2 linked regions of the Xenopus tropicalis genome follow. The protein of the gene in region 1 interacts with the protein of each later gene in a biochemical or structural test. Links are inferred from orthologs where the notes say so. Each region holds a gene or a part of one and is shown on either strand. Other genes may lie near its edges.

Region 1 (4,449 bases):
GCAGTGACCGTTAGGACACACCAACCCTTCATTTGAAACTCAGACAGAGAATTGATAGGATCTATAGGGAGCTCCAATTAAGGGGCCATTTTTAGAGATAGGATTAATTTTTAGCCCTAAGTGAAACCAGCACCATATATTATTCATAAGCTCACAAAATTAGGGTTTTTTCCCATTTATCCAATATGTCTCCTTTAATAGGTGATTTGTAGACTTTAGGTATAGAATACCTGTCTAGGATCCCCCAGTGAATTAAATGCTAAGTTTTTCCCCACTCTGGGGCTCCTTTTAGGAAAAATTGCACCAACCTGAGGAGACTTCTAAGTAAACACTATTCTACCATTTCACCTCTCTCCCTGTATAAAATCTGAAACTATTACTGGACTTGTCTAGTCCCAGTAAATTAGGCTTTCCTTGTGACTTGTTCATTAGCTATTCAGTATTAAAAAGGGAGATATAAGAATATAAGACACAAATGTCTTCCAGATGTTGACCTGAAATCATTTGAGTTGTAGCTTGACAAAACCTGTAGGAATGCAGGTTGCTCCTGCCTACATCACATACTCAACATCAGTCACAATGATTATCGTATATAGTCTTTCTACCTTTTATTCCACCACTAACTTCATTGCATGTAAAGAAACACATTAAACCAGCCAGTGAGGTAGATCCTAATCAATATAAAATAAATCCTTAGTTCCTTAGTGTGCCCATTTTTGATCAGTCAATCTGGTTTAAGTAGACAGGGGTACAGGTATGGGACCTGTTATCCAGAATGCGAGGGACCTGTGGTTTGGGTCTCCGTTCGTTAAGTCTGCTAAAAAATAATTGAAATATTAAATAAACCCATTATTTAGTCATGTGTTTTCAGTTCACTGTGTTTCTTCTGCACTTTTGGCAGCAAACTGTACTATGTGATGCACTGCTGTGGGCAAGGTATTGTGAGTTACACTAAGGAGAGTATATTTTAGGTTTCTGAAATGAATGTGTATGGGTCCCTTGGGGAGCTAGTGTGGTACTGATGTACCCTTGCACATCTTATTTGCTTTGATTTTCCTCATTAATTTAAACAGAGACTACTGTACCTATTTTGTAAGGAGGCATTCCATGTAATTACATATCTAATTTGTATCCTGTAACATATAAAGTACCCTAATAAACAGAGCATAGTGATGTCATTTTTTCACAACTTGCTGAAACTTGTGTATTATAAAATGTAATGTACCTCCTGTAGTATTAAGGATACTTGAAGTCACCTTAGGGCCCATGACCTGTATTATTGGCCATCAGCCTCCTGCCTTTGTATGGAACTCAGTGTCGTTGCAGGCCAGGGTGCTTTAAGCCTGACATAATCAATGCACAGCCATTGCAACAATGCAACAACTGCACCAAAGCCTATTTCATGCCCTTTCATGTTTTCAGTAGGTAATGTCGCGTTTGCCTCCCCACACTTCCCAGAAACCTGCCCTGTAGCAATAGTAAAGAAATCTGCACCCCCTTCTCCTGATGGATTAGCCCTCTCTCCTAACCCCACCCTCCTGACACATTCTGCGACCAGCCAGTGACACTGCAGCGTCGAGGAGCGTCCACGACAAGCGCCACAAGTACGAGCGCCCCGAGTACGAGCACCCCACCCACCGTCTCCCTCCTGCCTCTGCGCGCACCCGTAGCTTAAGCGAGGAGTTGGGGTGGGGAAATAAGGAGACGCAGAGACCCAAACGGGCGGTTATTATGCCACCCAGTCAGCGGTTGCCATAGCAGCGCTTGACGTCACTCTCCGACCCCTGCTCAGCGATTGGAGGAAACCCCGTGCATCGGTTAGAGCTTTGAGCGCTCGGAAGGAGACCGGACTCTGCTATCGGCAGTCAGTCACACACGGAGAAAGCGAGACGTGCGCTCGTCCAAGCCCGGGGATTCGACTACTTGCCGGCAACGGTTCGTGTTCCCTGCAGCCTATCACAGGTACAGCGCGGGAAGGAGCATTACACCTGCAGGGAGGAGGGGGTGAGGTCAAATTCGGGCGGGCCGGCCGGCCCTGATAATGGCGGAGAGGAAGCGGCTCCCTGCATTGTTCATGCCATAGATGGGGTGGGCTACATGGGGGAATCAATGCACATTATCTGCGCTGAATAATCCTATTTAATTCTCACCCCGCTCGGGTTCTGTATTTCAGCCCTTTTTTTGTTCAGGGTGATGGGGAGGTGCCTGGCTTCCTCCTCCTCCTCCTCTCGCCTTTCTCCCTAGAGCCTCCTTTACAGACCCATATATGGCTGCCACTTACATTTTCTCCTATCATCGGGGTTTTGTATCGTATTGATTGTGGGCCCCCCAGCTTCAGTGGCCCCCCCCCAGCTTCAGTGGCCCCCCCCAGCTTCAGTGCCCCCCCCCAGCTTCAGTGCCCCCCCCCCCCAGCTTCAGTGCCCCCCCCCCAGCTTCAGTGGCCCCCCCCCCAGCTTCAGTGGCCCCCCCCCCAGCTTCAGTGGCCCCCCCCAGCTTCAGTGGCCCCCCCCAGCTTCAGTGGCCCCTGGCCCGAATGTATTGATTTTATTCACAATATGAGATGGCCAGCCTGCAGCTCCTATCCCCCCTACACCCGAATGGTAGCGATCCTGGGGGTGCTGCAGCTTGGCCATCATTAATTATATTAATCAGGCTTCCTGTATTAAAAGACCCCCCATTATCTCTAACTTGGGCCCTGGAGAAATGATATGTAGGCAGTGGCCCCTTTTTCATTTAAAGGCACAGTAAATCATGACCTGAGTCTGTTCTGCACATTGCTCTTTATGTCTTTTGTGACTGGTGGGAGCTGCCCTACTGCCCTAATAAAATGAGTATCATCCAAAACCCACTATGAGATGGGGGCCCTCAACTAGTGACAATGGTGTGCTGCTGAGCCCAACAAGGCATTTTTTATGGTGGAGGAGGGCCTTTTTTTTTTTTTTCTTTTTTAAATCAATTAATGGTCATTGCAATTCCCCTTTAATACAAGCAGATGACACCGATCCATATTTAGCCCTTGAGCTGCAGGGCTCTTGCTTTGTAATATGCAATGCAAATCCCATCTGTGTGTGTGTGTGTGCGCCTGTAGCGCTGATGCGCGTACCCTCCCCCATGTTGCATCGATAGAAAGGGAAAAAAAAAGGCTGCAAGAGAAGCAAGCATTGCAGTACAGGTGAGGCTGCCTCCTCCCCCCGCTCAGTAATAAGCCTCTGGGGAGGAGGGGAGGGGTCTCTTGCCATCATCTGCTGCTGGGTCAGTGGCAGCTGGACTAGGTAGCCGAGGCTGCTACTGGCGGCTGACAGATTCTGCGTGGGCTACTGGTCTCGCTGCTTGCTGGTAGTGCTTAATACAGATATTTTGCATGCACTTCTGCAGCTGCCGCTGTTCTAAAATTCCTAGCGTTTATTGTCAGCTAAAGGCTATATTTCTGCAATAGCTGGAGGGCTGAGGCTATTGTTAATCCCTGGCAGCCCGTGCTGCCTGTCACCGTTATTGACAGGCAGTTGCCATTAAATTTAATGACAGGGTGCTTCATACCCAGCACAGAAACCACCATGTTTATGCATCTCTAAATGTTCCCTGAAAGTGTGTACATCGAAGCCCACGTTATTTTGCTTTGAAATGTTTAGTGACCCCTGAAGCTTGCAATCTAATGTTGTTACCTGCGGGCCATGCTGTTGAAATGAAAGTCAGGTTTACCTAAATCAATCTAGGGTGATGGATTCTAGGCCTCTCATAGCTTTTAGCAGGCCTTGTTGCATTGCAGGGTTAAGGCACCCACCCCATAGTCTGTAATAAAGGCACAAACTGCAGACCGTGTCTTGTTAAAATGTTACCTGGACCATGTGCGTTTATCAGGAGCATCTGGGTTTTGAATGTAAGCAGCGACACAATAGCCATTTCACTGCATAGGAATTGCGGATGATGCAGAGATTTAACGTGTCTCTTATCTTCTCATGTTAGACGTTGTACCCAGACACGCAGGAAGTACAGCTGCAACAAAAAAGCTTTATAGCTCTCCTTTCTCACCCCTCCACCTTCGTTACACTATGATACATATCAGAAAGGGAGGTGTTCTCTTGGGCAGTGTCTGCAAGCTCCTTAGTCACAAAGCCCTCAGAGGCGGCAGCAGTTTTATTGGTTGTGGTGAAACATTGCTAGTCTCTCTTACTGAGACATTATGTGAAAAGGTTCCTCGATATATTCATTGAGTATGTGAAATAATTAATTTGCTGTTTGGATCACAGTGCTTCTGTTCTAGTACAGATAGGCATCTATTTAATACTTTTAGAATGTTACATATTCTGCAAACTCCCTAGTGTTACAGTATGTCTAAAAGAATGGGTGATGCAATAGAGCAGCTTTTAACCAGTAACCTGGATCCCTTCATCTGTTAAACACATGGTGCTTTTGTAACATACGGGGGGCCCCACAGCCTGTGCATCCCCC
Region 2 (3,821 bases), on another chromosome or scaffold:
TTTGGTTTGGCCAGGCAATTAAATAGGTGAGGCTCACTAGAAAGCAGGTTGGGTTTCAGACCTTGGGGTGGTCAAAATTTCCCCTGTGCATTTTCATTTTGCAGTCTGTTGCCTTGAAATATAATGTACTGTTGCTGGTAAAATAAAAAATTGGGTTTGCTTCAGAAACACTTTTATGATTTATATAATCAGATTACTGAGCAGCTATATTGGCGGCCATTTAAGGTGATATTGGACTATAGGGCACTAAGGCACATAGGGCCCGATTCACTAAAGTCCGAAATAAGGAGTGCTATTTATAGCATGTGTTAAAAATCTTATCACTTCTTATTTTTCACTCGATTCACTAAAAGGACACTTGTCATAATTAAGAAGCGATGTTCTTGGCGTTATTTATCTTGCGACGACAAATTTTCAAGCAATATATTACGCAGCGCACAACATATTAGGCAGCACGTTGCTTGAAAATATGTCGTCGCAAGATAAATAACGCCAAGAACATCGCTTCTTAATTATGACAAGTGTCCTTTTAGTGAATCGAGCGAAAAATAAGAAGTGATAAGATTTTTAACACATGCTATAAATAGCACTCCTTATTTCGGACTTTAGTGAATCGGGCCCATGATTACATAGCAGAAAACTCTGTGGGATACAATGGTTTTAGTTCTTACACAGAAAGGTAAACATGGTTCAAATGTAATTCATTACTTTTTACAGAACAATTGAATAAAATCCTCTCTCATATAAACATTTATAACCATAACTAGTTTATATTTAGGTACTGGTTGAACAGATACAAATGTAAAGGAAAATATATACACATTTTTTATCTGGCTTGCATTTCTAGTCTTTTCATAAAGACCTTTCACTGTCTGTACTGTGCTTCTCTATTAATTAAATCCCTCCAAAAATAAAAATCTTTATATTCAAACAGTTACAAAATATATGATTTCAGCTACTTTACATACATTACTATAACTTTCCATTACTGGGCCTCACAAACAAATCCCTCTCATTCCAAAACCTTTCAGAATGCCAATCCAGTGAATATATAGGCAAGCTAAAACCGGCAAGCTAAGGGCCCGGGAACACAAACAGCACCAATTGCTGTAGAACTAATGCTGCCATCACAGTTTTCCAAATGAGTTGTTAAAGAAAGTTGCTTGCAATTGCACAGCCAAGTGTTTGGTCATGAATAATTTTTGAAATACATGTATGGCATTTTAATACAGATTTTTTCTTTTAAAGGTTTTATGCTGCTGAGATCTGTATTGCTTTGAATTTCCTGCATGAAAGGGGAATCATCTACAGAGATCTAAAGTTAGACAATGTTCTCCTAGATGCTGATGGTCATATCAAGCTAACAGATTATGGCATGTGTAAGGTAAGGCGCTCCATGGGCAGACATTTCTCCAACTGCATGCAGCCTTAATCACTATGAACACCATTGAACAGCACATATGCTCAGGAAGCTCAGTAGATGCAGGAAGAGGATCACCCCATGGTGCTACTCCAGAAATATCACAGGCCGGTGTAGTTTTTTTTTTTTTTTTGCTAGTGGGAGCACTGGCCTAGGGTATCAGGAAGGTGATTAAAATGATTGGAGGGGTGCCTAACATTTGCCACCCCTAAATGATTAACCCTTTCCTTCTACTTAAATTAAAACTAAATGTAATTTATTTTTCCTGAAAGGAAATTAAGGGATCGTTTTACTTTTATTTTTTTTGCATAAATGGTGCAGTAATAGTTACATGACTATCAGTGAATTTCCTTAATGGGATCTTGTTTTTGTAGATCGAGACACTACATTACATTGTTTGAATGTTGTATTGTTGGGCACAATGTTCATCTTTTGTTGTCTCTTTGTTCTTCTTTATGATTATAAAAATGGCTGCTGTAGAATGTTTTGTGTTTCTTGGGAGAAAAATATATTCAGTGCATATTAGAATATAATTTCTTTCTGTTACAGGAGGGGCTAGGACCAGGAGACACTACTAGCACTTTCTGTGGCACTCCAAATTACATTGCTCCCGAGATCCTCCGGGGAGAAGAATACGGTAAGCAACAAAATTCCAAGGTGCAAATATTTTATCTTGGTGTCTTTCACTTTCTTTATATTTAGGTAAAGGGAATCGGCAGTTCACTAAGTTCACTCTCATAAATGGCCTTGTGAGCTAATGAAAGAAAACATTATCTAAAGAATTTTGCAACAAGATTATGAGAAGTATTTGAATTTGAACAGTGCAATGTGGTCCTTCAGATTTTTTAACCTTCCTAACTAGTATTTGCCTGATTCTGGATAGATATTAGTTAGAGAGACTGTCCTGCTTTCCCCCATACACAGGCCAATAAGTTGCCAGTTTGGTGTGGAGTAGCCATGTAGGCAGTTACTGTCTGACAGATTTATACAACTAGAAACATTTTTAAAAACCAGTATACAGTAGATCCGGAATACTCAGGACCCTGGGGATTTTCCAGACAAGGGATCTTTCCATAATTAGGATCTCCATACAGTACAAGGTGCTGTTTTATTGCTACAGAGAAAAAGGAAATCATTTTAAAAATGTGAATTATTTGATTGAAATGAAGTTTATAGGAGATGGTCTTCCCGTAGTTTGGAACTTTCAGACATCATATTAATGTGTACATATAATATTTTTAAATGATAGTATCCCTTTAAAGCAAAATCTAAACTACATCAGACAACACCCCTTGTGTCAATAATTAGGTTTTCTGCTTTTATATTCAGGGAGTGTTTAACTTTTTTAATGTGATTTAAGAAATGTAGCAGTGTTCATTGATACAAATCTAAATGTGCTGTTATGTCAAAATAACCTAGTATATATTTAAGCTAAATGTACTAATTTTGTTTTAAATCAGATGAGAATTAAGCATTTAATAAGCACTGATCTGAAATATCTCATAGTGGTGAGCCACTTGTGATCGTCTTCAACAGCTTAAATTATTTAGACAGGAGTTCATCAGACAGATTTGAAAGATTTCTCATCAAAGATTATATTTTGCGTTCTTTTCGGCAGGGTTCAGTGTTGATTGGTGGGCTCTGGGGGTGCTCATGTTTGAGATGATGGCTGGAAGGTCTCCTTTTGACATAATTACAGACAATCCAGATATGAACACAGAAGATTATCTTTTCCAAGGTTTGTGAACTGTGTTGTCAGTATTTTTTTGTATGTATGTATGTTATATAGTATATGTTATATACTCTGTAATATGAATAACCAGTGCATGCTCTGTTAATTGGTTATGTGCAATACATTGCTTTCTATTGTAAATGGATGTGATGAATTTGCTGCCATGTTCTTACATTGTATAGACTAGTAATCTGTTACCTAGGTTAGTGATTTATCAGATAGGTATATTGGGCAATAGGTTAAAGATGTTGGATGGGTTAGTTATTGGACTAACCGTAAATTCTTAAAACTAAGGATGAATATTACAGGGGACTGCCTTTTCCCCACTTGCAGTTTAGTCCAGAAGGAAGCTTCATGCCAGTGGACAGATCTGTGTTCTGTCAGAAGGGAATCATCACTCACAAACAGGGCTGGATCCTCTCAGTAGCACTCTCTAGATGCATTCAAGACCCAGACAGCACCAGCATGGCTTGTAGCACAGGAGCTGTTTATTGCTATGTTGTCTTGGCTCTGTCTGTCATGTTCAAATCTAAAAAAAAAAAAAAAAAAAAAAAAAAAGTAATCAAAGAAGAGACAAGGCAATGAGCAGAAAGTATAGGGAGAATACATTTAAAGAAGCTCAAATTGATAGCAAAGCATGGATTTAGCTGATGTTTGTTACCTACATCA

What was found.
Region 2: the proteins of ywhaz (region 1) and prkcz form a complex in vitro, tested with the Homo sapiens proteins (2 studies listed by BioGRID, with this or other methods). The link is inferred for Xenopus tropicalis from reciprocal best matches to the Homo sapiens genes YWHAZ and PRKCZ.

Annotation. Positions count from the first base shown.
Region 1 is NC_030682.2:130,830,732-130,835,180, reverse strand, and holds the start of ywhaz (14-3-3 protein zeta), read left to right. Parts: upstream 1-1,589; 5' UTR 1,590-1,962; intron 1,963-4,449.
Region 2 is NC_030683.2:91,413,888-91,417,708, reverse strand, and holds part of prkcz (protein kinase C zeta type), read left to right. Parts: intron 1-1,248; coding exon 1,249-1,384; intron 1,385-1,969; coding exon 1,970-2,057; intron 2,058-3,038; coding exon 3,039-3,158; intron 3,159-3,821. UniProt on the Homo sapiens protein: Calcium- and diacylglycerol-independent serine/threonine-protein kinase that functions in phosphatidylinositol 3-kinase (PI3K) pathway and mitogen-activated protein (MAP) kinase cascade, and is involved in NF-kappa-B activation, mitogenic signaling, cell proliferation, cell polarity, inflammatory response and maintenance of long-term potentiation (LTP).